Macaca fascicularis: one gene and its partners. The main gene of each other region encodes a partner of the protein of the gene in region 2 in a complex. Links are inferred from orthologs where the notes say so. Each region holds a gene or a part of one and is shown on either strand. Other genes may lie near its edges. The genes, in order: TMEM107, CEP290, TMEM17, CC2D2A and MKS1.

Region 1 (6,321 bases), on a different chromosome or scaffold from region 2:
ACTGCGCCCAGCCTAAAACTTCATTAAAAAGATATATCTGAGGCCGGGCGCGGCGGCTCAAGCCTGTAATCCCAGCACTTTGGGAGGCCGAGACGGGCGGATCACGAGGTCAGGAGATCGATACCATCCTGGCTAACACGGTGAAACCCTGTCTCTACTAAAAAATACAAAAAACTAGCCGGGCGAGGTGGCGGGCGCCTGTAGTCCCAGCTACACAGGAGGCTGAGGCAGGAGAATGGCATAAACCCGGGAGGCGGAGCTTGCAGTGAGCTGAGATCGGGCCACTGCACTCCAGCCTGGGCGGCAGAGCGAGACTCCGTCTCAAAAAAAAAAAAAAAAAAAAATATATATATATCTGAATGTATATGTGTGTGTGTGTGTCTATATATCTATAAATATATATCTAAATATATTAAAATATATAAATATGTATAAATATATATATAAATACATATATATATTTTTTGAGATGTAGTCTCGCTCTGTCGTCCAGGTTGGAGTGCAGTGGCAAGATCTCAGCTCATTGTAACATCCGCCTCCTGGGTTCAGATGATTCTCCTGCCTCAGTCTCCCGAGTAGCTGGGAATACAGACACATGCCACCACGCCCAGCTAATTTTTTTTTTTTTGTATTTTTAATAGAGACGGGGTTTCACCATGTTGGTCACGCTGGTCTCAAACTCCTGACCTCAGGTGACCTGCCCGCCTCTGCCTCCCAAAGTGCTGGGATTACAGGCGTGAGCCACCACTCCAGGCCTTTATTATTGTTTTATTAGAGAGAGGTGTCTCACTATGTTGCTCAGACTGGCTTCAAACTCTTGGGTTCAAGGAATACTTCCGCCTTGGCCTCCTAAAGTGCTGGGATTACAGGCATGAGCTTTCGCTTCTGGTCCCAGAGTGCATTTTCTTTTTCTTCCTTTTTTTTTTTTTTGAGACTAAGTCTTGCTCTGTTTCCCAGGCGGGAGTGCAGTGGCACGATCTTGGCTCACTGCAACCTCCGCCTCCCGAGTTCAAGCAATTCTCCTTCCCTCAGCCTCCTGAATAGCTGGGATTACAGGCGCGCGCCACCATACCCGGCTTTTTTTTTTTTTTCAGTAGAGATGGGGTTTCACCATGTTGGCCAGGCTGGTCTGAAACTCCTGCCCTCAGGTGATCTCCCTGCCTCGGTCTCCCAAAGTGCGGGGATTATATGCGCGAACCACCACTCCCGGTCAATTTCTGGCCAAAGTTTCTAAAATAAAGTTTAAGAATAAATGCCCTATTTTTATAGAATTATAAATGCCCTACTTTTATAGAATTATAATTCTAGCGTTTCCTTTTTTTTTTTTTTTTTTTTTTTTGAGACGGAGTTGTGCTCTTGTTGCAGAGGCTGGAGTGCAATGGCACGGCTCACTGCAACCTCCACCTCCCGGGTTCAAGCGATTCCACTGCCTTAGTAGCTAATCGAGTAGTAGTAATCGAGTAGCTGGGATTACAGGCACGCGCCACCACATCCGGCTAATTTTGTATTTTTAGTGGAGATGGGGTTTCAGCATGTTGGTCAGGCTTGTCTCGAACTCCTGACCTCAGATGATCCGCCCTCCTGGGCCTCCCAAAGCGCTGGGATTACAGGCGTGAGCCACTGTGCCTGGCCCGCGTATCCCTGTTTGTAGCACCTATTATCTTACGGATTTATTTGTTTGCATGTCTGTTGTTGATCTCCCTGACTAGAATACTATTACTAGGTAATAAATAAATATATAAAAATATTTGTTGAAGGAATGAGAAATGCCTCTTGGGCTTGTACTTTAGTCTGGCTAAAGGCACTGAGACGTCGAGTGGGAAGTAGGAAGATATTGTTCTCCTGGGAAATGGGCCGGGAGTTTCCTTGAGGATGGGACTTGACTGAGCAATTAGAGAAGAACTTTCAGATCTGCAGGGACCTGCGCTGAGGCCCAAAGGTCATGACGTCGCCGGTGATAAGAGCTTCCTGGACTGTAGCTGGGCAATGTCGGAGGTCCAGCACCTCCAAGAGATAAAGAAATCTAAGTTGAGTTTCCCTTCCCGTAGGCTCCAAGCCTCCCAGAGACGCAGGGACTGTACCATTCCCTTCGTCCACTCCCACCTTTCCAGCCACCTTGCTTTGCTCTTATTCCCACGCTAGTTTAAGGACGCGGACCACTTTTTGCACTCTGCAAATCCTTCACCAAACTGAGCAAAGTAGTCTGAGAGAAATCAGTCTTCCTCAAGGAAGGTTCAGGCCTAGGGTCCTCAGACAACCAGGGGCTCTGTGACAATCTGTAACTGCCGAGCAGTCCAGGAACACCGGCCTCTCCACGTTCGGGTCCCTTGTTTCTCAGGCCCAGCTTGGTGGGAAGTTAAAGGCATGAGGAGAGGAGGAAGGGGAGCGGGTGTGAGTCTTCGGCATGGCGGGGACCTCAGCCCGGCGTGGCGGTGGGAGTGATCTCAAGTGATCCACAACTGGGCAGCGTAGCTGGGGCTGGGGGCCGCTCCCGGCGTGGGCAACCGCGGAAGCAGAGGTGTCCCCAGGCTAGGCCAGGGTGGGTTTCCGTTCGTCGGCCCTGCGTGGGCAGATCGGGCGCTGCGCGGCTGTGCCACCCCTCACCCTCTGAGAAACAAAGGGCCTGGCTGCGCACGGGTACCCAGCCATTGGGTTAGAAGCTCCTTCGGGTACCCCTGACCTGAGTTAGCCCTGAAAGACCCACAGCAGATGGAGAATGTACTGCTCTCGCGAGGTTTTCCGAGAACGCGGCAGCACGCCCGCGTACGCGGTTACCAAGGCAACTGGGCGGTGCCTGAGCTGGCGGAAAGGAGGAGTTCGTCTAGATTTGTCCGCTTGCTGGTGGACTTGCGGGAGTCGCAGTCTCTGAACTTCCAGCCTCAGAGACCGCCGCTCTTGTTCCCAAGGGCCATGGGCCGGGTCTCAGGGCTTGTGCCCTCTCGCTTCCTGACGATCCTGGCGCATCTGGTGGTCGTCATCACCTTATTCTGGTCCCGGGTAAGACCCACGGCTGCCCTCCGTCCGCCCCCATTCCCATCTCGGAGTCGTCCCCGCCCCACCCTGCCCCTCTCCCAGTGTCTTACCCACTTGGGTTTTCTCGTGTTCCGCCGTCCCTAGGCCTGCCCAGCAGCCTGCCCCTTTTTCACTTCTCTTCCTCTCTGCCCTGCTCCCAGGACAGCAACATTCAGGCCTGCCTGCCTCTCAGGTTCACCCCCGAGGAGTATGACAAGCAGGACATTCAGTGAGCTCTTAGGACGGGGTGGCCAGAACGAAGAGGTGGTGGGAGTGGAGGGGTCTTAGAAGAAGTCCAAAGGCCTGAGCCAGTCCACTTCCTCTCTGCAGGCTGGTGGCCGCGCTTTCTGTCACCCTGGGCCTCTTTGCAGTGGAGCTGGCCGGTTTCCTCTCAGGAGTCTCCATGTTCAACAGCACCCAGAGCCTCATCTGTATCCTTTCTGCCTGCCCACCTTTCCCACACGACCCATTTCTATCAGGACTCCCTTCAGCCACCTGACACAATAGTGTCTGCTGTAGCCAGTCTCTCCAGTTCAAAGATCTTCAACCATGTGCTAAATCCTGCTGTTTACTAGGCACTTAAAATTCCGAAATGAGAGTAAAATACAGTTTTTGGCCAGGCACGTTGGCTCACGTCTGTAATCCCAGCACTGTGGGAGGCCCGCGCAGGAGGCAACATAGTTAGACCCCGTGTCTACAAAATAAATAGTAATAATAAAAACTCCACTTTTTTTTTTTTTAACCATGAGGAGGAGGTAGATACACATCTGTAATTCAGTGTGATAAGCAGTGTGCTATGGGAGTGTGTAAAGATAGCACAGGCAGGGTGCGATGGCTCATGCCTGTAATGCCAGCACTTTGGGAGACCGAGGCAGGTGGATCACCTGAGGTCAGGAGTTCAAGACCAGCCTGACCAACATAGTGAAACCCTGTCTGTACTAAAAATACAGAAATTAGTCGGGCGTGGCGGTGCACTCCTGTAATCCCAGCTACTCAGGAGGCTGAGGAAGGAGAATTGCTTGAACCCAGGAGGCAGAGGTTGCAGTGAGCTGAGATCGTGCCACTGCACTCCAGCCTGGGCGACAGAGCAAGACTCTGGCAAAAAACGAAAGATATAAAGCACATTGGGAACTCAGAAGAGGCAACGGAAGCCAGGCACATGGGTCAGAGAATTGTGGACCAGGAGGACCAGGACACTGGAGGCTGATTCCAGCGCATATCAAGTCGCTGTCAGCACTCCTGTGTGGCATAGCAGGAGAGCCTACTCTTACCTCTCATCTGAAGGATCCAGGCTGGCCCCTAGATATGGAGTAGGGTAGCCTGAGATCCCATCTGCGCAGTCACTTCTGGTCTCTCCTCACATGACTGTCCTAAAATTCAGAAGTCGGGGATGCTGACTCTAGCCCTTGCAATATGGTGAGGGAGCAAACGATGAACCTGAATGCAGATGCCAACCCCACCACTGGCCTTTGGCCTTTTCTGACCCCTCACTATCTGTCGATCCAAAGACTTTCCTTAACTCTGGTGCCTTCCCAAGCCATTGGGGCTCACTGTAGTGCATCCGTGGCCCTGTCCTTCTTCATATTCGAGCGTTGGGAGTGCACTACGTATTGGTACATTTTTGTCTTCTGCAGGTGTGGTAGCATCCAATATTCGGGAATGAGGGAGGAAGGCTGACCCTAAACCTGAGGGTTTTTCCCCCACCCAGCCCTTTCCTCTATGTGTGAGATACCAGATCCACTTAACATCCTGTAGTCTTTTGAATTTTCATTCCCTACCCCATGCCACCTGTCCTACACTTTCAGGGGTGGGGTCTCTGGTTTGGAGATTTGGGTATTTATATTGAAAGGGTTTCTGAATTTACCACTTGCCTCGGTAGTGCCCTTCCAGCTGTCACTGAAATGACTTTATTCGTCACCGTCTTTGGGCTGAAAAAGAAACCTTTCTGAGCACCTTCATGACGGGAACCTAAGGACGAAGGCTACAGGGGCAAGGGCCGCTTCGTATTCCTGGAAGAAGGAAGGCATAGGCTTCGGTCCTCCCCTCGGAAACTGCTTCTGCTGGAGGATATGTGTTGGAATAATTACGTCTTGAGTCTGGGATTATCCGCATTGTATTTAGTGGTTTGTAATAAAATATGTTTTGTAGTAAGATTAAGACATATACAGTTTTCAAGGCACAATTGAGATGGCGAAACTACTGAAGAAAAAAAAAGAAGCAACGTTATTTTCTAGTTCTGCAGACCGTAAGATACTTGGTATCGCTTCTATTTTGGTTATTACGGTAGTTGTCTGGCGGAAGGGAGTGGGCGGAGATATGTAAATAGAAAGTGCTTACAGTTAGAACGTCCAGCACGTAAATGATCGGAGCATTCTGGGAAAAAGAAATGTATTCCTTTTCGGCAGCCGAATGAAAAAATTCTTTTAAAAATGTGCAAGCAAATATGGCAATACAACTGGAAGGATGCTAAGTAGTAGGGTTACTCATACCAACGCGTCGTGAACTCACCCTAGCTGTAAACGGAATCTTTTTGACTGAGTGCGGAATGTCGGCTCTTTAGAAATATCGTCAGGTGGGATAATCCTTACCTGTTCCTCTTTTGGAGGGCAGATGAGAACATGATGATTGGAGAATGCATGAAACGTGATTAACGTCTCTGCGTAATCAGGACTTGCAACACCCTGATTGCTCCTATCTGATTCTTCCTGACGATCACTTACGTTTCTGTTATGTTGATTGTAAGTTTAGTTAATGTAGTTATCATGCGGTGCAGGGAATAGTTTCTGTATTTCGCTATTTTGTGATCTCGCCAAATTTTATCTGGTTTTGAAAATTGTGAGTTGTATTTGTTGCTTACTGGGACTTAGGAGGTAGGATTGTGCAAATGGACTCCCGTTGTTCTTTGTCGTTTGATACTTTGACGCTTCACCTCTTCTCAGGAAACACTGCACATCAGTAAAAATCTGTAATCTAGTGCACAGGATGGATGATACTCATTCAATAGGAACGGGTTTTTTTTTTGTTTTGTTTTGTTTTGTTTTGTTTTTGAGGCAGGGTCTTGGTCTGTCGCCAGGGCTGGAGTGCACTGCACTGATCTCGGCTCACTGTAACCTCTGCCTCCCAGGTTCAGGAGATTATCCTGCCTCAGCCTCCCAAGTAGCTGGGATTATAGGCAGGTGCCACGATGCCCGGCTATTTTTTGTATTTTTAGTAGAGACTGGGTTTCACCATGTGGGCCAGCCTGGTCTTGAACTCCTGACCTCAGGTGATCTGCCCTGATGATCGCCCTCAGGTGATCAGCCTCCCAAA
Region 2 (5,849 bases):
AGCATGATGGCACACCAAGCATGATGGCATGCCGAGCATGATGGCACGCCGAGCATAATGGCATGCACCTGTAGTCCCAGCTACTCAGGAGACTGAGATGGGAAGATTGCTTGAGCCCAGGAGGCAGAGGTTGCAGTAAGCTGAGATTGTGCCACTGCACTCCAGCCTGGGTGACAAAGTGAGGCCCTATTTCAAAAGCGAAAAAAAAGGAGAGAAAAAATTATTTATTTATTCAACAAATATTTACTGAAAGTCTCCATGTGCCAGCCATTGCTGGCACTAATGAGCTTAATAAAACAAAATTTTTATTTTCAGTGCTTACATTCCAGTTTAAAGGCATATTGAAATAAACTTTTTTTAAATGTTTAGATGAAAGCTCAAGAAGTAGAGCTGGCTTTGGAGGAAGTAGAAAAAGCTGGAGAAGAACAAGCAAAATTTGGTAAGCACCTTGGAAAAAGTTTATTATGTTATTAAATAATGAGTTCCATTTGTTCATTAAGCTGTAGAAAATTAAATTCTATAAACTGTATATATTCAATTTATTTTTAATATATAACATTTATTTAATAATACATATTTCTAGACTCCTGTTTTATGGATCTGCCGTATAATACTTTTTGTTACCTTATAATCATGATGGACTCTTTTAAAAGAATTAATTTTGTTATTAAAATTTATGTAAAAGTTTGTTCTGTGGTAACTAATCAATTAAAACATTTGTCTTTTTTTTTTTTTTAATAGAAAATCAATTAAAAACTAAAGTAATGAAACTGGAAAATGAACTGGAGGTATGTCTTTTTGTGTTCCCTAGGATGTAATTGTCATTAATTTTATTTTGAATTGTTTTCAAATTTTAAAATTATTATTGGCTGGAAAAATGATAAGGATGATTGTAATCATGGTTATTTGTTTATTCAGTATATGTTCTACATGCCTATTATGTGCTATATATATATTGTACTAAGGATTGAGCATACGGTTGTGAACAAAATAAAAAGCAGTTAACTGCTGAATGGAGCTTACAGTCTTGGGAATTATACAGAAAGATTACTAGTAACTGAGGTGGAGGGTGGGTGGGCATTTGAGGAATAATTACCAAAGGGTGTTATAGAAGTAATTTTTGACAAAGCTGAGGGCTAAAATATGAATATATTGTTGAGGAACAAAATACATAGAGACTTCTGAGAAGGTAGGAATGTAATGCAAATGGATCAGCCTTTGAAAGGAGGAATACCCTTTTCCTTTGTGTTAGGAGAGGAGGAAGAATGGATGAGGGGAGGAAGAGTGAATGTGTATAGAAGCTTTTATGTTTGTAGGCATAATGCCTGGAAGTTGAGAGGGTGGTGATGACATCATCTGTTTAAAAGAGTGGGAAATGGTGTGGTCACATTTTAATGAAATTAGATAAAATTTGAAATCCATTGGAGAAAGGACTGGAGAGTTGGGGATCTGGAGGCAGACAGATTTGAGTTCTAGTCCTGATTCTTTTACTTGTTAACTCTCTGAACTTGGATTACCTATTGTTTTTTGATTATATATCCAGCTCCTGGGAAGATGCCAAGCACTTTGAATAAATACTTACTACATGAATTATGGAGTTGGATCAATTCTGTGTTAGTCTTTAGCTAGGCAGCTGCTATAGAATAGGAGGGTACAGTTGAAGATATTGGTAGGAAAGTGGTTGAAGCGATGATTGTGAAGTCTTAACTGAATGGATAAGAAAGTCAAGATTGGGGTTGGGTGGGCAGAAGGGTAGAGATAGAGAGGGAGAAGTCAAGGGATTAGAGTGTCCTGTGAGGTCAAAGGATAGGCATAGTGGGAATAATTGAAAGAATGTTCTGGCTGGACAAGGATCTGATGTAGGTGTGGGAGTGAGAAACTATAGTGAATTCAAGAAACAAGAAAAAAATAGATTAGAACAAAAGTTATGTGGAGATTGCTTAGGTGTACATTTGATAGACGTCTGCGGGCCACATGCTTAAATTCCCAATGCATTTTGCGGAGTTATTGGGAAGTTCGTGGCTTGCTTCTACCATGAGTAAGTAAAGATGGAGAGCAGGACATCTTGTGAGAAAGCAGCTGAAGTTTTCATAGGATGATGGAGGAATGATAGGAATGATCACCTGAAGTTGCAGGGTTGGGTAAACCTAGAAGTACCAACACCTTCTCCTGACCCTAATGTATATGGGATCTGAAAGAATGAGCACCTTCCAATTGAAAGAGTTTCAAGAGCATTAGTATCTTGAAGGATCCAAATTGCAGCTAAGCCAAGATGGAAAGGAGGATTCAGTAAAGCATCTGAGGTTGTGAAATATTAATGTATCTTGGAAGAGAACTTAAGAGAGCACAATGGAGTACTTTTTGAAGGAGAGAAAGAGTAAGAACAGTTTGGTTAGTGCAGAGGAATAACAGAACTACATGGTGAAGAAATGAATGTGAGACACGTTAGATGACCAAATGATGTGATGTTCTGGGCCATGACCTAAATTAACAAGACTGTGAGGTAAAATTGATTTAATTTACAAATCTTAAAGGTAACCAAAACCTGAGCTGTTTAATATGGTAGCACTAGCACTAACCACTTGTAGCTATTTATATTTACATTGGTTAAAATTAAAATGAAGAATTTAGTTCTTCAGTTGCAGTAGCCACACTTCAAATGCCCAAAGGTAGCTACATGTAGTGAGTGGCTACTGAACTGGACAGCACAGAGAGCATGCCCATTATGCTAGAAAGTCCTATGGGACAGCGCTGGTCTAAATAGTGCATGGTATGAGAGAAAGGGCAGGTTAAGGCACTCAGCTTCACTGACGGGGGCGGAGATTCTGTTGGTTTGTACTCCAGTTGCACTAGCCACACTTCAAATGCCCAAATGTAGCTACCTGTAGTGAGTGGCTACTGAACTGGACAGCACAGAGAGTGTCCATTATGCTAGAAAGTCCTATGGGACAGCGCTCGTCTAAATAGTGCATGGTATGAGAGAAAGGGCAGGTTAAGGCACTCAGCTTCACTGACTGGGGCAGAGATTCTGATGGTTTGTACTCAGATTCCAGATCCCTGAGGCTCAGGAACTTTTGCAGTTTAGTCTGGTTACCTGTGTCCCAGTGGTTACAACAGAATGATTAACAGTCAGTTCTTTGCAGCTCTGGGTGGCTCAGGAAAAATTTAAGGAGTTATTAGCTGTGACCTAAAGCTTAAGTAAGTTAAATTAAAAAAAAAAAAAAGTTCTTAAGCTAATAAGCTAATATGATTTTAAATATCTGCACTGAAGTATAAGGAATATTTAAAGTCAATATAATGATTTGCTTCTTGACTCATTTGAACCTCAAAATATAATGGGATTAATTTATACTTTGGGTTTATTACTTCAAGATGGCTCAGCAGTCTGCAGGTGGACGAGATACTCGGTTTTTACGTGATGAAATTCGTCAACTTGCAAAGCAATTAGAACAAAAAGATAGAGAATTGGAGGACATAGAAAAAGAGTTGGAGAAAGAGAAGAAAGTCAATGAGCAAGTAAAGCACCTTTTTTTTCCATGAATCTTCACTGTTCAAGTTACCTGGCTATTTATTATTGGTAACAATATCAATTTTTATATTGTATGTTATATTTGAAAAATGATGTTCACTTATCTCTAAGATTTTATATCACTGTTCATTTTGTCATCACCAATTTTAAAATATAATGTAACAGATACTTCTAGTGAGTATGACTTGAAGATTAATTATTTATATTCGGAGGTACATTTTTCTCAGTACATCAAACTTGTTACCTAAAATTAATGCTTTTTTCTGGAAGATTGGTATCAAGAAACCAACAGATTTTCATAAAGAAGTGATCTTTCTAGCGCCATAGTTTATTTTGGGTAAAAGTAATATTTGTTTGTTTCAGTGTATTTATATGATTAGTAGATTTGTAAATGAATCTTTTGATGATATATTCAATAATGGTTAATTAAATATCTTGTTTTTGGTTGTACCTTATTTTATGTGTGATATATATATATATACACACAGTATATATAGTTTTTGAAAAGTTGTGTTCATGTCAGTAGTTTATAAATGACATCTTTAAAATAACATTTTTAATGCATAGTTTTTATTACTTCATGTTATTCCTTGTTATAAGCTAGTAATTCTTGCAGTGTTCACTTGAATTTAGTTTTAGGAAAAAAGATTTTTTGCAGATCAACTTGTATTTCCTGGAAGAAAATTTCCTATTTTTACCTTAACTTCCTGTTTAATGTTTTATTTACTTAACATTTATTTGTTTTTTATTTCACCTGAGCTGTTAGTAAACTTAGTAAAATTTGGTGCCTACATGTGGTAGCTGTCCTGTCCCTTATACTCAGAAACATTTTCCATCTTTGTGTCCTTTAAGTCATTGTTGTGTTATATTCCATTTATTTTATTTTGTCCATTGTTCTCTCAGAAGTTGAGGGTCATACATTAAGAAAACAATGATATGCTATTTAAGATAATGTATCATAAATTGATTTGTAAGGAAAAGTATCCCCATTAATGTATCTATTTTACTCTAAAATTTTAAAGAATCATATATAAGTTAGCTATGGAAACAATGTGGTAGAGACAGTATGGATTGATGCCACTTAAATGTTAGGAACAAGCTCTTAGAGTATTATCTGTTTAATTAACTCTGCAAAACACAGCAGACCTGTGGATTTTTTAATAGTCATAAAGGATCTAGCTTATAATATTCACTGGTAGAATTGCTTAGGGGGATGTCTGTGGTTTTCTGGACTTTTGTTCCTCTATATAGACCTGTATCAGTTGACTTACCATCATTCATACCACATACCCTTAGCTAATCAGAACTACCTTGTCCATTTTTATCTTAGAGTATTATCTTTATTCATAGTCACACACAGAGAAAACTTCAATATGTGACCTGTGTTCCTTTTTGGCTGCTCAATTCCTTTAGATGAAATATGGGTATGGGTTGCTTTGGCAATTACTTCTTTGCCCTTAACCAGTCATTCAGTTTTGTTGGGTCTTTACAGCATACCAGAGACTGTGCTAGTTACTAGTGATATAGTGGGCAACTTTGTTCTGGTTCTCAAGAATATTCATAGTCAATAATAAGCATAACATAGTGATAATATGATAGGGAGATAGATAAGGTTATGTTCTGGCATACTCTGAAGAGGGATACCATAATCAGCCTTAAGGCACAGGATGTGATCTGTAAACTGAGATTTGAAATAGAGTTAGACTGGTAAGAGGAATGAGGATGTACATGGTGGTTAAGGAAAGAACATTCTGGGTAGAAGATACAGCATTTGCTAAGACCTAGAGGTAAGAGATGTTATGGAGTATTTAGGAAACTACAGTTATTCTTTTTGACTGAAATATAAGTGAAAATAGCTTTCATAGAGTTCTTACTATGTGCCAGGCACTTCCGAAGCATTAATTCATTATTGCTTATTTGATACTTACCATGTGAGATAGTTGTCATTTCTACCATGATATAGATGAAGAAATGGAGACAGAGAAAGGGTAATTGCCAATGGTTGCACAGCTTATAAATGGTAAAGGTAGGATTTGAAAACAGTCTTAACTCAAGAGTTTGTGCTATCTTGCCTACCAAGTTTTAATTCTTATGATCCTCTGGAGAGATAAGCAAGGGCCAGTTCCTGATGAATTTGATTCTTTTCCTGAAAGAAGCCAATGAAGAGTTTTGAGCACAGGACATCATGATCAGATCTATATTACTGTACTTTGTAGAGAGTGGATAGAAAAGGGCCAAGGCTAGTAAGGAGACATTTGTGTTAATTCAGGGAAGCACTAATGATGGCATTTGCCTGAGAAAGACAAGTGTGAGAGAAGTA
Region 3 (5,862 bases), on a different chromosome or scaffold from region 2:
GTATGAAAAAAATATTACTTTTTTAACCATTTAAAGGTGAAAAAACATTTTTAGCTCATTGACTGTACAAAAACGTTTAGGCAGCTGACCAGTTGTTTACCTATCCCTGATTTATATTGTATGTTTTAATTTAAATTCCATTTATAGAACTCAACTTGAACTTTTGCAAAATTCAGTAAATGTATATCTTATGCTTTTAAGGTTCATTTACATATTAATTTGATTTTCATTTCCATGATTATAAGTTTGATCTGCTGAAATATGGACATAGCATAACCTTTAAGATGTTAACACACAATACTTCTAACATAAAAACCGTTCTTTGCAAAATTTGACTACAGTTTCTTCTCAAAGGTACTGAAATGTTCTGCTTGCCCAATTTATTATTCTTTCCCGTATTTTGTTCTTTGTGGATCAGAAGTAGGTTTGATTATTTGTACTGTAATAACAAATTTATGTAATTACCATGTCCACAGCATTGTGCTGTTGCTATCAGAAAGATCCTAGGCTGGTGAGTTGTCTTCAGATTTAACAGATTTTAAGAATTCATTCATTTATCAGTGGTAATTTAATAAGCAGTTGCAAGCAAAAGTAGATCATAATAATCAGGCATATTTTTGGAGCTAAAAGAAACTATTTTGCTGCGAGAGACCATGACTGTTTCTTATATTTTAAAATTATTAAATGACAGATAAAAACACTCAACTATGGAGAAAAGGAGAAATAATGTTCTTAAGACATTTATTTTAGGACCTTTAAAATCTTACGTGTAGAACAACTGATTTCAATATATGTGTCCGCTCTTAAGAATTTAGTCAAATTTAGGATGTATTTTGTAGGGTTCAATTTTAAAAATCAAATTCTTAATTTAGGACCCTTCTGTCTTACATAAAAGCAAAAAGTGTTATGGAATCAACCTTAGGTAAATGGAACTCATGTATCACAAATGGCTATACTAGTAATGTCCTTATGACAGTATGCTTACATTAATTCATTCTTATGTGTATTTGATATTCACTGCATATAAAGCAAGATGCTAGATTCTATGAGGGTCTCAAATTAGGGTGGGACATGGTGTGTGCTTGCAGATAAGTAGATAAATAGAAGAGAAGAAGGAAAGGGGACTAATATTTGTTGAGTGCCTACTAAGTGTGCCCAGCACAGTGCTAGGAAGAAATAATTCATATTGGCTCTAATTCTCACAAGCAGCCTGTAAGGAAGTTTTAATTTCACTATTTTACAGATGAAGAAATAGAAGCTCAAAGAACTTAAATAATTTATATAAAGTCTGACATCCAGGGTCACAGAGGTTTGGGGAGCTTGGGTTTGCTTGAACTCTGAAGCCCGTGATCTGTTCAGTACACCAGACTGTTTTTCGGGGAGGGGAATGTGGTTCTTTGCTAGCACTTCTTATTGACAGTTTAGAGTGATAAGTACCTGAAGGGAAAGGTATTTCTGCTGGGGTGGGGGAACTGATGAAGGAAGTATTGATGGAAAAGACGACGCTGAATTGGACTTTAAAGAATGGCTAAGATTAGGGTATGCTGAAAAGAGAGATGTGTCTAATTATATAATCTTGGTAATCCGTTTTTGTATGAGATTAGTTTATATGTGAGAGATTCATTTTTATTTATTTTATGCATTAATTTTATATGCTATTTACATAGAATTCTACAAAGCAGGCAATGATAATTATCTGTTGAATAGGATTTATATTGATATTCTACATTAAATCTGTACTAGTATATGCAAAAAAGTCAGAAGACTGTAATGGCAAAATGGTAAAATAATTGAAAAATATGAAACATACCCCCAAATAGCCAATATTTGACCTAACTGGTATTAGGATGAATATTCCTTTTACTGTCAATGATTATAAATAGGCTTAAAATTTGGTGTTTTACTGAGCCAATATTATAGTTATTAATTCTACGGGATAGGATATATATATTTATAGGGCATAGACCAAGTTTCATAATTTGTTCCTTTTCTATTCCTTCTGTAGAAAATGAAATGGTCTCCAGTTTGGCATTGCAGATGTCACTTTATTTTAATACCTACTATTTCCCACTGTGGTGGGTGAGCAGCATTATGATGCTTCACATGAAGGTAAATCTAAGCTTTAATACTTTTGCTGCCCTGACGTTGTTAGAGTGTCAATAAAATTAAAGTTCTTAATAATTTTTTTCTATCTCAAATCAGTGTTACTATACGTGCAATTTTACAAACATGTTTTGGCCTTTCTTTTAGTATTCAATCTTGCCTGATTACTACAAATTCATTGTGATCACTGTTATCATCCTAATAACCTTAATTGAAGCCATCCGGTTGTATCTGGGCTACATGGGTAACCTACAGGAAAAGGTAAGCTCTTTTTTCCTTTCTCTCAGTGATAGATATAAATGAAATCAGTTTTCATAACAAGTAAAAGGCAGTGAGGTGTGGCAGAAAGAGCACAGGCCTGAATTTAAAGCCTGACTCCAGCTTTACCACTTCTGTCACTGTGGTCTGTTTGCTTAATCTCTTGAGCCCTGGTTTCCTCATATATAAAATGAGGAAAATAATATTTACTTCACAGGTTTGTTGTGATTAAGTGAAATGATTTATGTAAAGCATATGAATGTGGTAAACACTTAAAATTGATATTTTCCCTCTTCTCATCAGTCTTGAAAATACATGGTTACTTAGACATGTGTATTTGGATCCTGAATAAGAAAATGGGGGAAAATTATGAATTCGTTTCCTACGCCAGGCCCATGTTTTCTGCATCATCATGCTACCTAAGCATTTATGGTTACCAGAGTGTAGGGATAATGCCTAAAGATTCCTGTGGTTTTCTAGGCCCTTCATAATAAGGCCCCACCCAGCCTGTCTTACTGTAGGTTTTGCTGTTTTCTCACTCAGCCATTCATTCCAGGCTGATGTGCTGATTCCCAATCATGCTAGTTTCACGTGTTTGCTTACTTACCTTTTTGCCTCTTCCTCCTCCACAACTTTAAAAGCCTACATCCCTGAGGTCTTTCTTTCACCTACCCTAATCACTCTCTTATTTCTTGTAGCATTTAGTCTGTACTTCTAAATATTGCCCTTAGTTGTTCACTAAAGTGTAGTATTCTAGGATTGCTTTACATAAATTAGTTTTCTCATCTAGACTGTAAGTTCTCTGAGGACAAGGACCATGTCATCCTCCTTCGGAATCACTCACAGAGCCCATAATGTAGGTTCACAGTAGTGATAAGTACTTATCTGTATAAACAAAAACTATATTTTACTGATTTTTATTACTTTTGATATGTGTCATTGCAGGTTCCTGAGTTGGCTGGCTTTTGGCTTTTGAGCCTTCTATTGCAGTTACCTTTAATTCTTTTCTTGCTCTTTAATGAAGGCCTAACAAATCTGCCCTTGGAAAAAGCGATACATATCATCTTCACTCTCTTCCTTGCTTTCCAAGTTGTTGCAGCATTTCTTACCTTAAGGAAAATGGTTAATCAGTTGGCAGTTCGTTTCCACCTCCAAGACTTTGACCGGCTCTCTGCAAACAGAGGAGACATGAGAAGGATGAGGTCATGTATAGAAGAGATCTGACCCAGTGTTGAGTGAAAATCTGACAGATCATTCTAGAAGACTGTAAGAGTTAGGAAAATATCAGAGCTCTAATATGAGAAAAGGGACAAAGCAATTGTTTTGTATACACTCTCACTCTGAAATTCCAAGGTTGGGGGCAATGATGAAACTTTGTACAATGTATGAATCAGTATATTAGCCCCAAAACCTAGATGTTGTCTACCTGATGCCAAATTTCTTAATGTTTTTTGATGTTGTCTTTTTCAGGAGTGTAGAAATGTATGTATTGGTGGTTGTCATTTGCCAGCTCTCCTGTAGTAATTCTGGTTAGAATCTGTAACTAGAGATGTGTCCATTTCTTTAAAACTTGTTGGTTGTCCGTGTCTTGGCTGTACATATGACCATGTTTCTTGACATGGAAATGCCAGTCAATGTTCCTATGTATCTGACTATATTTATAAACCAAGAGACCCGCCAGGCGCGGTGACTCACACCTGTAATCCCAGCACTTTGGGAGGTCAAAGGGGGTGGATCACGAGGTCAGGAGATCGAGACCATCCTGGCTAACACGGTGAAACCCCGTCTCTACTAAAAATACAAAAAAAAAATTAGCCAGGTGTGGTGGCGGGCACCTGTAGTCCCAGCTACTTGGGAGGCTAAGGCAGGAGAATGGCGTGAACCCGGGAGGCAGAGCTTGCAGTGAGCCAAGATCAAGCCACTGCACTCTAGCCTGGGCAGCAGAGCGAGACTCTGTCTCAAAAAAATAAATAAATAAAAAATAAACCAAGAGACCAAATTTTCATGTCTGCTAGGGTTAAATTCTAACCCTAATATTAGCTGTTATACTGAGATTAAGAAGAAAACAGGTGGATTGCCTTGGTATTTAGGAAATATTTTTGTTATAAAATTATAACTTTCATAAAACCATATTCAGTATTTGTAATGGTGGTATATAAAATGCTTTTACAATAAATTATTAAATATTTAAGGTATCAACAACAGATCATCCTTGTCTTGTGCAATTTTTTTGGGCTATAGATTTGTGTTTTTTATTACAGAGTTGCAAGGGAAGGAAGGAAAACAAATCCTAGAGAGCTATCTATGTAGTGGGCACTGTAGTAGGCGTTTTAAATTAGCACTTGTGATCTCATCTACTAGGTTATCGGTCACCAAAGAACTGCTTCATACCCATTAAATTCACATGAGGCTTGATTTGGAAACCAGAGCGCCTCTTAATACATATGAGAGCTAAGATGGCCAAAGGGACTATACTCATGATCCTGAATAAGCATGCTCCCTTGCTAATAGGAGAAATCTATTTTAGGAGATTTGGTTAAGAACAAAGTTGCTTGGATTATCCGAACATTATATTAGTGACTGTTGGACTGTCTTAAAGGATATGATACGTTCATTACAGGTTTTCTTTTTTTCTATAGGGAAATGGGCCTTCATAATGTATTTCACTGAGAGACAGTTGTAGCTGCATTAAACATTGCTCTTTTCAAGTTTATTTTTCTACAATTCATACTTTGGATTCCCAGGTTTTGCCTTATTCATTCTTGTTTTGCTGAACTTCAAAAAATGTCTTTACTTCCCACTCATTCTTGATTCTTCCTGACCAAACTATGCTAATTTTATTATTTCTGCTCTTTATGATTATATATAAAGTTCAGCCAAATATTTCTCCCTCCATGCAGTGGCTAGTTAATCTTTCTCATGCCAAAGTAGTCACTAGTTACACTCTTAATAATTTGGAATTTAAAATAGAATTCTGTTTGAATAGTTTTCTAAAACATATTCATTTGCATTTGTTTCCCAGATAGGACTAGGTAGGTATCTGGGTAGGTATAGGTAGGTGATTCTATAAGAAAATATAAAATAAAATTAAATCTACAAAGCAGATAAATTAGGGGATGATGGAGACATTTCTATTTCAAGATTGTTTCCAGAGTTTTATTTTAAATAGCAGAACTTCTGGTACATTTAAACTTTAAGAGATTAATAACAAAATGTCAGTCATAATCATAAAAAAATTTTTTAACTGTAAAAAATTTGAGAAAATTGATTTATCAAAATTTCCAAGTAATTTTGCTGTAATAAACATATTGTTTAAAATGCAGATATAGTAACAGTGGGGGAAAAAAAGATAGTAAATTGAAACCATGACCAAGTCATTTGTTTGTTTTCCATCTGAACAGTAAAACCATGACTTTTTGGGTCAGGCTGAACCAATATTTTCTATTGGAGTATACCTGGTTCCCTATATAAGTATGTGAAAATCAAGGTAGAGAAGATATT
Region 4 (6,642 bases), on a different chromosome or scaffold from region 2:
CTTTAATGTTTTTTGTAATGCCTTTCTGTAAGGCCAATATGCTAGCTTTTTTATTGGAGGATTCAGAAATGTTGGTATGTAGGGTCTGTGCTTTATAATCATTCAGATTTTCCAGAAAATAATTTTCTACTTTCTCCAGTTCTGTATAGGTAGAGGTAGGATGGGGGAGCCAATGGTATGTTCTTGGTTGTCTAAGTTCTTGAGAAAAGTTCAGAAAGGGCCCTGCAACATCTCCATTTCATATCAGTTTTCAGTCCTGAGACACACTCACTTTCTGCAGTAACTGTGAACTTGAGACCAGAGAGTCTCTGGTTTAACTTCCCTAGGGGGGAAAAAAAAATCTCCTATGGGCAGCAGAAGATGAGGCAGATGTGGAGGACAGAAATTATGCCTGAGGAATGGGCATTTTTCAGGCTGCCAAGAAAAAGGATCCTGAGGATCAATCCTTTAATATACAGACTTTCAAATCTTCCTGCATTTTCAGCCCCATATCTCTCCCCACCTTCCTTAGTCTATGGTTGTATTAGTTTCCTGGGGCTGTTGTAACAAAGTAGCACACACTGAGTGGCTTAAACAGCAGAAATTTTCTCACAATTCAGGAGACTAGAAATTTGAAATCAGGGTGTTGCAGGGTTGATTCTTTGTGAAGCTTCAAGAGACAGTCTGTTCCAGGCCTCTCTCCTGGCTGCTGATAGCCTTGAGTGTTCCCTGGCTTGGAGATGGTGCTCTCCCCATGTCTTCGCGTTGCCTTTCTTCTATTGTGTCTATCTCTGAATCCAAATTTCCCCTTTTGTAAGGACACAATCATCTTGGATTAGATCTCACTCTAATTACTTCATTTTAATGTGATTACCTCTGTAAATACCCTGTCTCCAAATAAGGTCCCATTCTGAAATACTGAGGTTAGGACCTCAGCATCTTTGGGGGTGAGAGAGAACACGATTCAGCTATGACATTGCTGCCCCAAATCCTGAGCTGTTGAAGTTCTGCAGAGTAAATCAGCTCATTTCCTTGTATTCATGCCTACCTGCATACCCCATCATACACGCACACAGATACATAAACATACATACACATACAGAGACACAAACACAAATACACTGACACATATGCATGCATACAGGCCGAGTCAAAAAAAGTACTCTGGATTTATTTTAATTCAGTATGGTAAGATACACAGACACAAACATGACTGGCATAAAAGAAGAAGTTTATACTTAACAGATCCCTAGAAACAAAAGGCATGGTGTCTTGGTTTGTTTTCTGCTGTTGTAACAGAATACACAGACTGGGCAATTTATAATGAACAGAAATTTATTTCTCACAGTTCTGATGGCTGGGAAGTCCAAGATCAAGAGCCTGGCATCCTGCAAGGGTCTTCTTGCTGCACCATCCTATGGTGCAAGACAAGAGAACATGAGAGCAAGAAAGAGAAAGAGAGAAAAGGAGGTCAAACTCATTTCTTTTATAAGGAATCCACTCTTGCAATAATGGCATTAATACATTCATGAGGGCAGAGTCCTACAGCCTAATTGCCTCTCATTAGGTCCCGCCTCCCCACAACATTGTATTAGGGATTAAGTTTCCAATACATGCTTTTGGGGAGACACATACAAATCATAGAACATGGAATGCCACACAGGACCACATAGGGAAGAACCAGTGTTGGTCAGAAGGCAGAAGGGAGACAGCAGAGTACAGAGCAGAGCCTTTACTAGGGTTTTCCCAGGAAGGAATAGGTGACACAGGGTAGGGTGCTGAGTAAATTTAGGACTAGATAGCTTGAATAATCGTGGTGTTCTCTGGGCTATAGTGGTCTGGTATCTGGACCTGGGGTGACTTGGGACAGGAGGAATATTGGCTTAGTGTGTGAGAGTTTGAAAATGGAGATGGTTGGTTGTGTGGGCTCTGGATTGGCTGGCTTGTATATAAGACTTTGCATATTTCAGGGGAATCATTTGCTATCTCTAGAAATTAGCTAACCTAGGAGAATCAGTTTCTCCAGGATCAAGGCTCCAAATGCCAGAGCATCAAGAATACAATCAATACACATACACACAAACGTACACACAAAATACACACAGATACAGATACACACAAACACATGTGCACATACACACTAGTCTATTTGGAGTGTGGTTTCCTTGGCTCCATTCATTCTATTACTCTTCCAGCTACTTTGCCTCTTTCCTCTCTCTCTCTTTTTTTTTTTTCTTTTCAACTGTTTTGAGCCATAACATTTATATCCGTTTTTAGGAATTGCAGTGGGATTCAGAGAATAGGCAAAAATTAAACTTGTGCATTCAACCTTCCACTTTTAACTGGAAAACACTTGAGCGCAACATTTGCTGGTACCCTGCAGGACCTCCACAGAGCTTTTGCTGCTGCCACGTTAGACAGCTTCACCATGTAATGATGATCTTTTAAGATTCTAAATCGCCCCACCTCTGAGCCTGTTCTTCACTGGAAATGCAAGACGACCAGATGACATGAGGGAGGGGCGGCTCTTAAGGCTTAATCTAATTTGCAGTGCTGCCCATGTTGATTTCTCTCAGTCCTTCTCCAGCAGGCTGTGCGTCTCTGCTTACCCAGCATGCTTGTACTCCACTACTGGAAGTAACCTGTCACTTTAAAAGAAAAAAAAAGCCACCGAGTGACCTTCCTTAGGAACGGGTTGCTAAGCTGGTGTTTTTGCTCCAAGACATGGCTGCAGCTTCCCAGGGAGGAGCCCAGGGGCATCTCCAACACTCAGCCTTTCCCTCCGGACCCTTTTAAAAGATTCTACAGCACCATCTCTCTCCACTTCCATCCTAGAAAGCAGAATCTGCAAAGTGCCTTTTGTAAAGTTTCTTAAGGTAAATCAGTCCCTAACCGGACTTTGGGCTGCAACAATGATTTCCTGTTTTCAGTTACCCGGCTTGAAATTCAGTCTCTCCCGGATACCATGAGACTGGATTTAATGAATTGTAAATTTAGGGGCTCTCATCATTATTTATGTTTTTACTTTCTGAAATGGGAACATAGACCATTACTTGGCAGCTTTGATTTGAGCTGCTATCTGGTATCTGGTTTGCAGGAAATGTAAGTCCAGTTCATCACAAGCCCTGAGTGAAAAGCTCTGTGAACCATTAGCTGCATGTTGCACTTACGGGCCTTTTAGTTCAAACTGGCTTAAGGTGAGAAGCACTAGTTACTGCGAAATACACTTTTCTTGGTATTAGACAGAGAAAGGGCTACTAACCACAGTGCTGAGAGTTGCTGTGCTGTCCAAAGACTTCAAGAAAATCTACTGGCTACAACTTAAGCTGACTGTTTGTTTCCCCTCATTGCAAAGAGGTGCTATGAAAAGCTAATAAAGTCGAATAAGATATATGTTTGCTATTGCATTTTCATATAACCTTTTCTGCAAATAAATTCAGTGCCAGCATGAAATCTCTCTCTCTCTCTCTCTCTGTCTCTCTCTCTCTGTATATATTTATATATACACAAATATATATATCTCCTAGAGCCCACTTATAGAGTCATTCATTCAAACATTTATGGAGCATCAACAATGCACCAGGCAATGAACTTAAGTTTAGAGGGTGCAAACATAAATTAGACCAGGTCAGAAGCTCAGAGTTTGCTGGGAAAATAGACCTATAAACACATGATAAGAGTACAATGAGCTAAGTGCCATAAGAGATTTATAAAACACTGAAAGCACAGTGGGATGACATCCAGGGAGGGGCTTCCAGCACTTACCACATTGTGTAAATGCACTGGCCATATATCATATAACACAGCTCAAATATGGTCCCCATATGTACTCTTCAAAGCCAATGTATATTATATTGAGCTGATTCAATGATTCTATAAAGCTATTTGTCACTAACCTTATGCTAAGGGAAACTGCAGCTGGAATAACTTATAGAATAAGACAATGTATTCCAAAAGAATGTATGTGGCACCTCCCCAGGTGTCCAAGCTCCAGGATGGAACAGAAAAATATTCTCACGGTGTGAGGAAGAAAATACTCCTGGGTAGAAGTGCAGGAGGTTGCAGAAGCACCATACATGGAAACAGCAAGGCAACTGCCCTGGGCCTGGCTGAAGGCAACGAGAGATGGAACATGAGTTATGGAAGCTGGGGGTTGAAGATTGGAGCCAAAGGTGGGTGGGCTTGAAAATCACCTAAGGTCTTTTTCATGACTCCTCTTCTATCCCCCAAGCTCTTTTCCCTCCTCATTCCTTTTTTCCACTTTCCCTCCCCACAATCACTTTTTCTTATTAACAAAACCTACCAATATTAAGAGCCCAGTCTGTGCTAGGCATTTTGCTACACACATTTCATCATTTAGCCCTTATAAATTAATCATCCTTCAAGGTAGGAAGTATGATTGCAATGTTGCAGACAAAAAAAAAAAAAAATGTGTCTCAGAGAAGGGAGGACATTGTTCCAAGATCACACAGCTAATAAAAAAAGCTGAAGTTGGAACTCAGGTCCACATATTCCTTGGCAAAGAAATACGTGGGCCACTCTTCCTATAAACCCATGTTTTTGCCATCCTGGAGTAGGGCATATATATTGCATGATTTTTTAAGCAACCAATATGGAGTTGAGATGCATTGTATCTCAACCTACAGGTATGGCTCTGATCCACTGATGACTCTTAAGAATAGACCATTTATTCAGATGAAGGTGTCAGTACTTTCCTTGAAAAAAATGTTTGGTTTTCTGCACTGAGTAAAATAAATAATTGACTTAATGTAGCCTAAGCCTTTTCTCACCAGTGCTTCACAGCTTTCAACTGTAAATATTTCCAGAATAGTGGGCTATTCTGGAAAGCATAGAATAATTATTGATGCCATTACAAAAGTAAGAATAAATGGTGAGACAAAGGGGTAGAGTGGAGTGAGGGAGGACTTGGGAATCAGAGTCTTGGGGTCAAGTTCTGGATGTGACATTTAATAATTATAACCTTGGGCAAATCATGCAAACTGTCAGAGCCTCAGTTTATTCATACACAAATTGGGGCACATACTGCTAAGCCAGATATGTTATTGTGAGGACTAAAGAGAACATATGTCTAGAGTTAGCACAAAATAAGTGTGCAGTAAATCATAGTTATTTTGATGTTGTCAGTAGGAATATATTAACAAGTACCAATGCATAAGATGATGGCAAGCTGCATATTAAAACCATGCAGTACTGATTTATGTTTTCTTAGCAACAGTGTTCATATAAAAAGTAAATTTCGTTGTCATTTGATTTCCTTAGAAACTCATTTAAAGGAAATGATCAGGAAAGAATGAGGAGAAAAGAAAATCCCATTACATTTTTCATTTTCTACTTCTATTTTTTATTTCATATAAAGCGTTTTTTAACTTATAGAGAACTTTTTTTAGTTACTAAAATATTTCACAGATTTTTTGTTTGTTTGTTTTGGTTTTCTTTCAGTTTGCAATGACCGGAGTTGTTTATTAGAGAACTCTTGTGTACTTTTACATTTCATCCTTATTATCTGCCCCCTCATTCACTCTAGGTTACCTTCTTGCCTCTCTATTTTCTTAGCAGCTTTTACATTTTCCTTCCTTTATTTTTTGTACACTGTGATGAAGTTTGTAGAGAAGACAATAGAATTTCAGATGTTTTATTTCCCTTTAACATGGTAATTCCCCTGTAGGGTCAGTGAAACCTTGAGCTCAGATGAGCTGCTTAAATGACCTGACCAAGTCCCAGTTAAGATTTGGGTTCCATGGATATTAGAAAGGGCTTATGATTTGTCAGCCATATGCCTGTTGTTTCTCCACATGGTTTCTCACTTAATCCTCACAGAAGACTAGAAAAAACAGTGGAGCTTTAAATAGTCCCAGAATGTGGCTATGGAACCACAGGCAATAAGTCAGTGACTTAGTCATTCATTTGACAAGTATATATTGAATGTCCATGATGTCCCATAATCCTAGTCTCTGGAGGTAAACAATAAACAAAATAATGTTTCTGCCCTCTTGTAGCTATATTTTAATGGATATAGGCTGACATTAACAAGTATGTATGTTGAGTGGTGATAAGTACTATGAAAAAATCATTGTAAGGTAGTTAAGGAATTCCAGGAGGGTGCTGGGAGGAGATCATTGTGTTGAGAATGGTCAGGGAAGAGCTCTCTGATAATGAAATTTCAGCAGAGACTGGAAGAAAGTGAAAGAGCAAGAGCCATGCAGATATCTTGGGGAAAAGGAGAACTAGGTAGCAGGAACCGCAGGTGCAAAGGTCCTGAGGCAAGAGGATTCAAGTGCAAATCACACAGGGCTTGTAGGCCTTGGAGAAAACTTTCGGTTTTACTCTGTGGACAAAGGGAAATCACTGGAGGATTTTGAGTGAAGCAACGTCATGATGTCACTCAAATTTTTATCAATTTGCACTGGCTTCAATGCAGAGAATATGGTAGCCCAGCAATGTGGGAAGGTGAGAAATTAGGAGGTACTTGCAGTAGATTTCAAGAGAGAAGATGGTGTTTGACCATGGTGATAATAGTGGAAATGTTTAGAAGTGATTAGATCCTGAATATAATTTGAAGCCAAAACTGGCCGGATTTCCGATGGATTGAGTGTGGTGTGTCATGTGAGACTGAGAAAGGAGTTAAGAACGACTGCAAGGTTT
Region 5 (6,333 bases), on a different chromosome or scaffold from region 2:
CTGTTGGTGGGAATATAAATTAGTTCAACCATTGTGGAAGACAGAGTGGGTATTCCTCAAGGATCTAGAACCAGAAATACCATTTGACCCAGCAATCCTATTACTGGGTATATACCCAAAGAAATACAAGTCATTCTACTATAAAGACACATGCACATGTATGTTTATTGGAGCACTAATTACAATATTAAATACATGGAACCAGCCCAAATGCCCATCAGTGATAGACTGGATAAAGAAAATGTGGTACATATATACCATGGAATACTATGCAGCCATGAAAAGGAATGAGATCATGTCCTTTTCAGGGACTTGGATGAAACTGGAAGCCATCATCCTCAGCAAACAAACACAGGAACAGAAAACCAAACACTGCATGTTTTCATTCATAAGTGGGAGTTGAACAATGAGAACACATGGACACAGGGAGGGGAACAACACACACTGGGGCCTGTGGCAGAGTAGGGGGCAAGGGGAGGGAGAGCATTAGGACAAATAACTAATGCATTCGGGGCTTAAAACCTAGCTGATGGGTTGATAGGTGCAGCAAACCACCATGGCACATGTATACCTATGTAACAAACCTGCACTTTCTGTAGATGTATTCTGGAACTTAAAAGTAAAAAAAAAAAAAAAAAAAAAAAATCCTGACACATGCTACAATATGGATTAGGTATCTAAAGTAGTCAAATTTCATAGAGAGAAAATGTAGAATGGTAGTTGCCAGGGGCTGGAAGAGGGGGATCAGGAGTTACTGTTTAACGGGAACAGAGTTTCAATTTTCAAAAATAAGAAAGTAGTGGTAATGGATGGTGATGATGGTTGCAAAACAATGTACTTAAGACCAATAAACTGAATATTTAAACATAAAAGGATCCTGATTCATAGAAATCAGTAAACAAAATATGAAAACTTAGTTTACCTATATAAAAATAATACTAATTATGGTTGCTTACTTGACAAATAGCTTATATCTCCATACCATGTGATATAGAAACTATTTTGCATATAATTATGTCAGATTAGCTTTGTTGTACATTGGATTTGGTTATAAAATTAAACTAGAATCAAGCTCCACTTTATCAGCTGTTGTGCATGTGGCACAGATTGCCTACTCACAAAAGGAAACATTAGAGAGACCATTTCTTAGGAGCTAGAAAGATGCCTTTTTAAAAATCTGTTAAAATTATTATTTTCCAGGTTGGAAATGTGTGCATTTATAGAATAAATTAGTAGGTGAGAAGCCATGAGGCAAAGTGGAAGGTGGTTAGGCTTCAAAAGACAGAACTTGGGCTGGAATCCTAGTACTTTCACCACTTCCAAGTTTAGCAAGTCCTTTAAACTCTGGCCTTCACGAACTTCACTCTTAAAGTGAACAAAAATACCTTCTTGAGAGGCTTCTACAAGGATTTGGGACAATGAAAACAAAGTGCTGAAGCTGCACTAGATCCTAAATAAATGGTGCTATTTATGGTGAGTTGGTGTTACACAACTAGTGGCTATGGCACCCAGAGCTTCCAATGCCAAATCATCAAACTGGCATGAGATTCCTGAGTTCAGGGGACAATTGCTTACTTTGTTGGAGGAGGACCAGATGTGAAAAAGCCTGATAAATGTTGACATTCCCAAGGCGCCAGGGCGCCAGACGTGAGGTTACAGCATGTCCTTCCTTTGCTAGTCCAACGAAGCATGACTTCTTAATGTCACTTTTTTGGCTTTTCAGGAAGCCCGTGCAGTATCTGAAGTGTTTTAATGATCCAAAACTAACACACACAAGGTAAGAACTAGTTCAATAATAACATCTTTTCCTTCCTTACTGTTGACTTCCTTGTTTTTTCTTTCTTTGTTCAGAGAATATCAACACAAAGACTAATAAATCTTCTGACACACTTTTTTGTCCTCCGAGAATGTATTTTCTTGTTTGGCTAAGGGCCGTCACCTTCCCTGACTCCTTTGGGAATAATGGGTGCATTTCTTACAGTTACATCCACCGATTTTCAGGCCAAAGTTTTCATGCGTTCAGTGGAAGGCACTGTGGCATGGTGGAAAAGGTAGAGGGCGAAGACTCAGATCACCTGGTCTCCATCATCATTTCTGCATCTGGCTATATGAGGTGGGCTGATGGCTGTGCCAGTTTCCTCATTTGCACCGTGCACGAGGTCCCGCTTTGGGTGAGCTTTTCTCGCATACATGGTAAGCGGTGATTGGCAGGACCCCGGAGCCCTCTTGGGCGTTAGGCTTGGGCTGCACTTGCACTGGGGGCCTACTGGGACTGTGGCGCCGTGACGAGAACGGCGGGTTGCGCGCGCAGCACCTCCGTCGCCTCCCGATCCAGAGTCTCTGTTGCCGGGAAAACAGAGCGGCGCGCTTTCCGGCGCAGTCGCGGCGCGTCGCAGCTGTCATGGCGGAGACCGTCTGGAGCACTGACACCGGGGAGGCAGTGTATCGCTCCCGGGACCCCGTGCGCAACTTGCGCCTCCGGTAGTCACACCGCCCCAGCCCCGAGGCCCCATGGTTTTATGTCCTTAGATCATTCCAACCTGAACTCGGTGTTCCGAGGCCCCCACTTCTGCTTACAATCCCGACCACTTCTTCTCCGGGCTCCCCCCTTCTTTCACTATCCGTACCCCATCCACTCACAGTCTCCAAGAACCCCTTACAGACCCACCCAAGTCCATTCACGTCCTTGTTGCTCCCAGTTTCTCAGAGCCCTGTGTCCCCAGTACACCCTCTCACCCTCAGTCTTCCCCATAGGACCGCGCACCCACCCACCTCCTCTCCGTTGTCTGCACCCAGCACACCTTGGCAACCCCACCTCCTCCGTTTTGTTTCCCCAATCCTTGCTTTGTGTTCATCTCCTGGTTGCGTGTCTGGTAACAAATATTTTGGGCTTTTCTTGACAGGGTTCACCTGCAAAGAATCACATCAAGCAACTTTCTTCATTATCAGCCTGCTGCCGAGCTCTGGAAGGACCTCATAGACTTGGCCACTTTTAGGCCTCAGCCAACTGCCAGTGGGTGTTATGGTGATGATGTGCCATCTACTACTAATTCTGATACTAATCAGAATTGTGGCCAAATGTAGTGAGATAACATGTACTATACTTCTGATACGTTATAGATTTGCCTGGCAATCTACATTCTATTTGTGGCATTTTTAAAAGAGAAAACGTGTCCCAAACTCTAAATACACATATAAACACTTTAAAAAACAATTTTTAAACTGGGGACTGCTTGAAAAATATACATATAATGTGCATATGAAGATCAACTATATTCTTGTGGTTTTCCTTATCTGGGAAACCGAAAGAATGAGGAGGAGAGGACAGAGTGGTTGTGTCAGGTCACTAGTCTGTCTGCCTTTATTGTTTCTCTTTCTGTTCAGAGCTGTTCCTGGGCAAGAGTGTGGGCTTGCGGGTTGTGAAACATGTGTCTCTGAAAAAGGCATACTCAGCCAGCCAAGAGTGTATTAGATTAGATTTGTTTTCTTTGTTTTTGTTTGTGTTTTGTTTTGAGACAGAATCTCATTCTGTTACTCAGGCTGGAGTGCAGTGGTATGATCATAGCTCACTGTAAACCTTGGTCTCCCAGGCTCAAGCCATCCTCCTGCCTCAGCCTCCCAAGTAGCTGGGACTACAAGCTCACACCATTACACTCGGCTGATTTTTTAAAAGTTTTAGTAGAGAAAAGGTCTTGCTATGTTGTCTAGGCTGGTCTCAAACTCCTGGGCCCAAGTGATCCTTCCACCTTAGCCTCCCAAAATGTTGAGATTACAGGCGCAAGTCACTGCGTCCAGCCAGATTTGGTTCTGTTAAAAAATCATTTATTTGCCTTCACTGTCCTCTCCTGACACTTGGCCTCCTAAATTTCAGTGTTTGTGATACTACATATATGGCTTTAGAAATAGTAAAGATAAAAATGCCAGGGTTATTTTCTAGCAAACGCAGACAGTTTGGACTGCGGAAGGGCTGGCTATTCAGCTTATATCTAAATTTCAGTTTCTTTTTTTTTTTTTCTTTTTGAGACGGAGTCTCGCTCTGTCGCCCAGGCTGGAGTACAGTGGCCGGATCTCAGCTCACTGCAAGCTCCGCCTCCTGGGTTCACGCCATTCTCCTGCCTCAGCCTCCCGAGTAGCTGGGACTACAGGCGCCTGCCACCTCGCCCGGCTAGTTTTTTGTATTTTTTAGTAGAGACGGGGTTTCACCGTGTTAGCCAGGCTGGTCTTGATCTCCTGACCTCGTGATCTGCCCGTCTCGGCCTCCCAAAGTGCTGGGATTACAGGCTTGAGCCACTGCGCCCGGCCCCTAAATTTCAATTTCTTATATCCAGTTAGATTAGATATTTCCTGGAGGAGGCTGGGCGCAGTGGCCCACACCTGTAATCCCAGCACTCTGGGCGGCCAGGGCAGGTGGATCACCTGAAGTCAGGAGTTCAAGATCAGCCTGGCTAACATGGCAAAACCCCATCTCTACTGAAAATACAAAAATTTGCCAGGTTGGTGGCATGTGCCTGTAATCCCAGCTACTTGGGAAGCTGAGGCAGGAGAATTGTTAAACCCAGGAGATGGAGGTTGCAGTGAGCTGAAACAGTGCCACTGCACTCCAGCCTGGGTAATAGAGTGAGACTCCATCCCCCCCACCCCCAAAAAAATTCCTGGAGGGTATTTTCTTTTACTCAAATTAGAGTAGTGATTAAGACTTCTTGGGTTCTAATCTTGGCTTCCACTCATACTAACTCTTATATACAGCCTCTCTAGCATTTCTCTAGGTTGAGTGCTTAATAAATTGCTGAATTCCAGCTGGTTTTTGTGGCAAATATACGAATAGGAACTCTGGTTATAATCAACCACAGAGCAAGAAGTGGTGCTGGTTCGGCTCAAGCATTTGACTCACTCTGTTGTCTTTGGAGGTGGACACCGCCCAGAGGAAGACGAAGAGGAGGAGATTGTGATTGGGTGGCAGGAGAAGCTCTTTAGCCAGGTGAGCCAGTGTCTTTTGTCTGCTCTGTCTGTTCCACCTGGTCTGACTCCACATGACTGGTGATACATATTGCCAAAGTGATTTCCAGACAGGTTGTAACGGTTTATACTTCGCCCTGTTGTGTTTAAAGGGCAGTGTAACAGGGATTGCCACTACTCAGTTTTATGATTCTGGGTGAGGCACTTTTCATCTCTGGGCTATATGCCATCTGTAATCACAGATTTGGATTAGACTATCAGTCTGGTTCCTTTTAGGGCTAATGTTCTTGGTTCCCCTGCCATCCATTAATTTAGTGTTGGTTATGAAAACGTGTCAGATAGCATCAGCTCTGTAGAACTGATTTGATTAAATAGTTACAGAAGCAAAAGTTTGCTGTATTATAATGATGTACACATCTCTGTTTCCTTATGGTAACCTCAGTTTGAAGTAGATCTGTACCAAAATGAAGCAGCCTGTCAGAGTCCTTTGGATTATCAGTACCGTCAGGAGATCCTGAAGCTGGAGAATTCAGGTGGCAAGAAGAACCGACGAATCTTTACCTACACTGACTCCGATAGATACACCAATTTGGAGGAGGTATTATTCTTTCCAGGGTCTCATAGCTTCCCTCTTTGCTTCCTCTAGCTTTTTTGCCTCACTGGATTCTTGTGTTATGTCAGAAGCCTAGTAAGGGGAGACAGGTAGCCTGTCTAGGAACCGCTGTGAGCTGCTGCTGCTGGCAGCCAGCCTGCAATAGAATGGGCACAGTCTACAGGTGGTGAGGCTGCTGCTCCCTTCTCTGCCTGCTGGAGGGCCTGGAGGAGCTGCCAGTTCTCTGATTATACACTTGCAGAGTGCATACTGGGAGAAGTAACCATTGGGCTTGACTTCCTCCATGCATCATGAAAAAAGACAGGTGGTGGAGTCTGGAACAATCTAGATAAAATTCATCAGGGGATTTGGCCCAAACTCTGAGTATATGGGTTTGAAGAAGAGTTTAGTATAGCTGTGGAAAATGACTTATGTCCTCAATTTGCCAATGACAAAAATACCCTTGTGACCTTGTTTTGCATTTTCTTCAATCACTGCATTTCAGTTGCTTCTGTCTTCTCAGTAAGATTTTAAACTCCTTGAGGGTACAGCCTATATTTTTTTATTTTTTGTCTATGACTCTGTAGGTCTCTGCAAGGAACAGGTATTCAATAAATGTTTTTGAAAGATTGACATGCTTTCATTAGCAGAGCTGTGGATTGATAACATTAGCTGGTCATGGTGGCATGTACCTGTAGTCCTGGCTCCTTGGGAAGCTGAGGTGGGAGGATCACTTGAGCCCAGGAGTTGAAGGTTGCAGTGAGCTATGATAGCAGCACTGCACA

Evidence for each region.
Region 1: CEP290 (region 2) and TMEM107 share a complex: the UniProt entries of both Homo sapiens proteins name them as parts of the tectonic-like complex. The link is inferred for Macaca fascicularis from reciprocal best matches to the Homo sapiens genes CEP290 and TMEM107.
Region 3: CEP290 (region 2) and TMEM17 share a complex: the UniProt entries of both Homo sapiens proteins name them as parts of the tectonic-like complex. The link is inferred for Macaca fascicularis from reciprocal best matches to the Homo sapiens genes CEP290 and TMEM17.
Region 4: CEP290 (region 2) and CC2D2A share a complex: the UniProt entries of both Homo sapiens proteins name them as parts of the tectonic-like complex. The link is inferred for Macaca fascicularis from reciprocal best matches to the Homo sapiens genes CEP290 and CC2D2A.
Region 5: CEP290 (region 2) and MKS1 share a complex: the UniProt entries of both Homo sapiens proteins name them as parts of the tectonic-like complex. The link is inferred for Macaca fascicularis from reciprocal best matches to the Homo sapiens genes CEP290 and MKS1.

The regions. Positions count from the first base shown.
Region 1 is NC_088390.1:8,260,681-8,267,001, reverse strand, and holds TMEM107 (transmembrane protein 107), read left to right. Parts: upstream 1-2,785; 5' UTR 2,786-2,910; coding exon 2,911-2,997; intron 2,998-3,173; coding exon 3,174-3,241; intron 3,242-3,324; coding exon 3,325-3,443; intron 3,444-4,283; exon of another isoform or gene 4,284-4,382; intron 4,383-4,549; coding exon 4,550-4,646; intron 4,647-4,891; coding exon 4,892-4,961; 3' UTR 4,962-5,163; downstream 5,164-6,321. UniProt on the Homo sapiens protein: Plays a role in cilia formation and embryonic patterning. Requires for normal Sonic hedgehog (Shh) signaling in the neural tube and acts in combination with GLI2 and GLI3 to pattern ventral and intermediate neuronal cell types.
Region 2 is NC_088385.1:95,071,124-95,076,972, reverse strand, and holds part of CEP290 (centrosomal protein of 290 kDa), read left to right. Parts: intron 1-369; coding exon 370-439; intron 440-741; coding exon 742-788; intron 789-3,372; coding exon 3,373-3,516; intron 3,517-5,849. UniProt on the Homo sapiens protein: Involved in early and late steps in cilia formation. Its association with CCP110 is required for inhibition of primary cilia formation by CCP110.
Region 3 is NC_088387.1:59,412,724-59,418,585, forward strand, and holds the end of TMEM17 (transmembrane protein 17), read left to right. Parts: intron 1-2,005; coding exon 2,006-2,109; intron 2,110-2,250; coding exon 2,251-2,364; intron 2,365-3,306; coding exon 3,307-3,585; 3' UTR 3,586-4,568; downstream 4,569-5,862. UniProt on the Homo sapiens protein: Transmembrane component of the tectonic-like complex, a complex localized at the transition zone of primary cilia and acting as a barrier that prevents diffusion of transmembrane proteins between the cilia and plasma membranes.
Region 4 is NC_088379.1:14,620,277-14,626,918, forward strand, and holds the start of CC2D2A (coiled-coil and C2 domain-containing protein 2A), read left to right. Parts: upstream 1-2,684; 5' UTR 2,685-2,855; intron 2,856-6,642. UniProt on the Homo sapiens protein: Component of the tectonic-like complex, a complex localized at the transition zone of primary cilia and acting as a barrier that prevents diffusion of transmembrane proteins between the cilia and plasma membranes.
Region 5 is NC_088390.1:48,491,454-48,497,786, forward strand, and holds the start of MKS1 (tectonic-like complex member MKS1), read left to right. Parts: upstream 1-2,378; 5' UTR 2,379-2,401; coding exon 2,402-2,481; intron 2,482-2,903; coding exon 2,904-3,013; intron 3,014-4,850; coding exon 4,851-4,978; intron 4,979-5,398; coding exon 5,399-5,554; intron 5,555-6,333. UniProt on the Homo sapiens protein: Component of the tectonic-like complex, a complex localized at the transition zone of primary cilia and acting as a barrier that prevents diffusion of transmembrane proteins between the cilia and plasma membranes.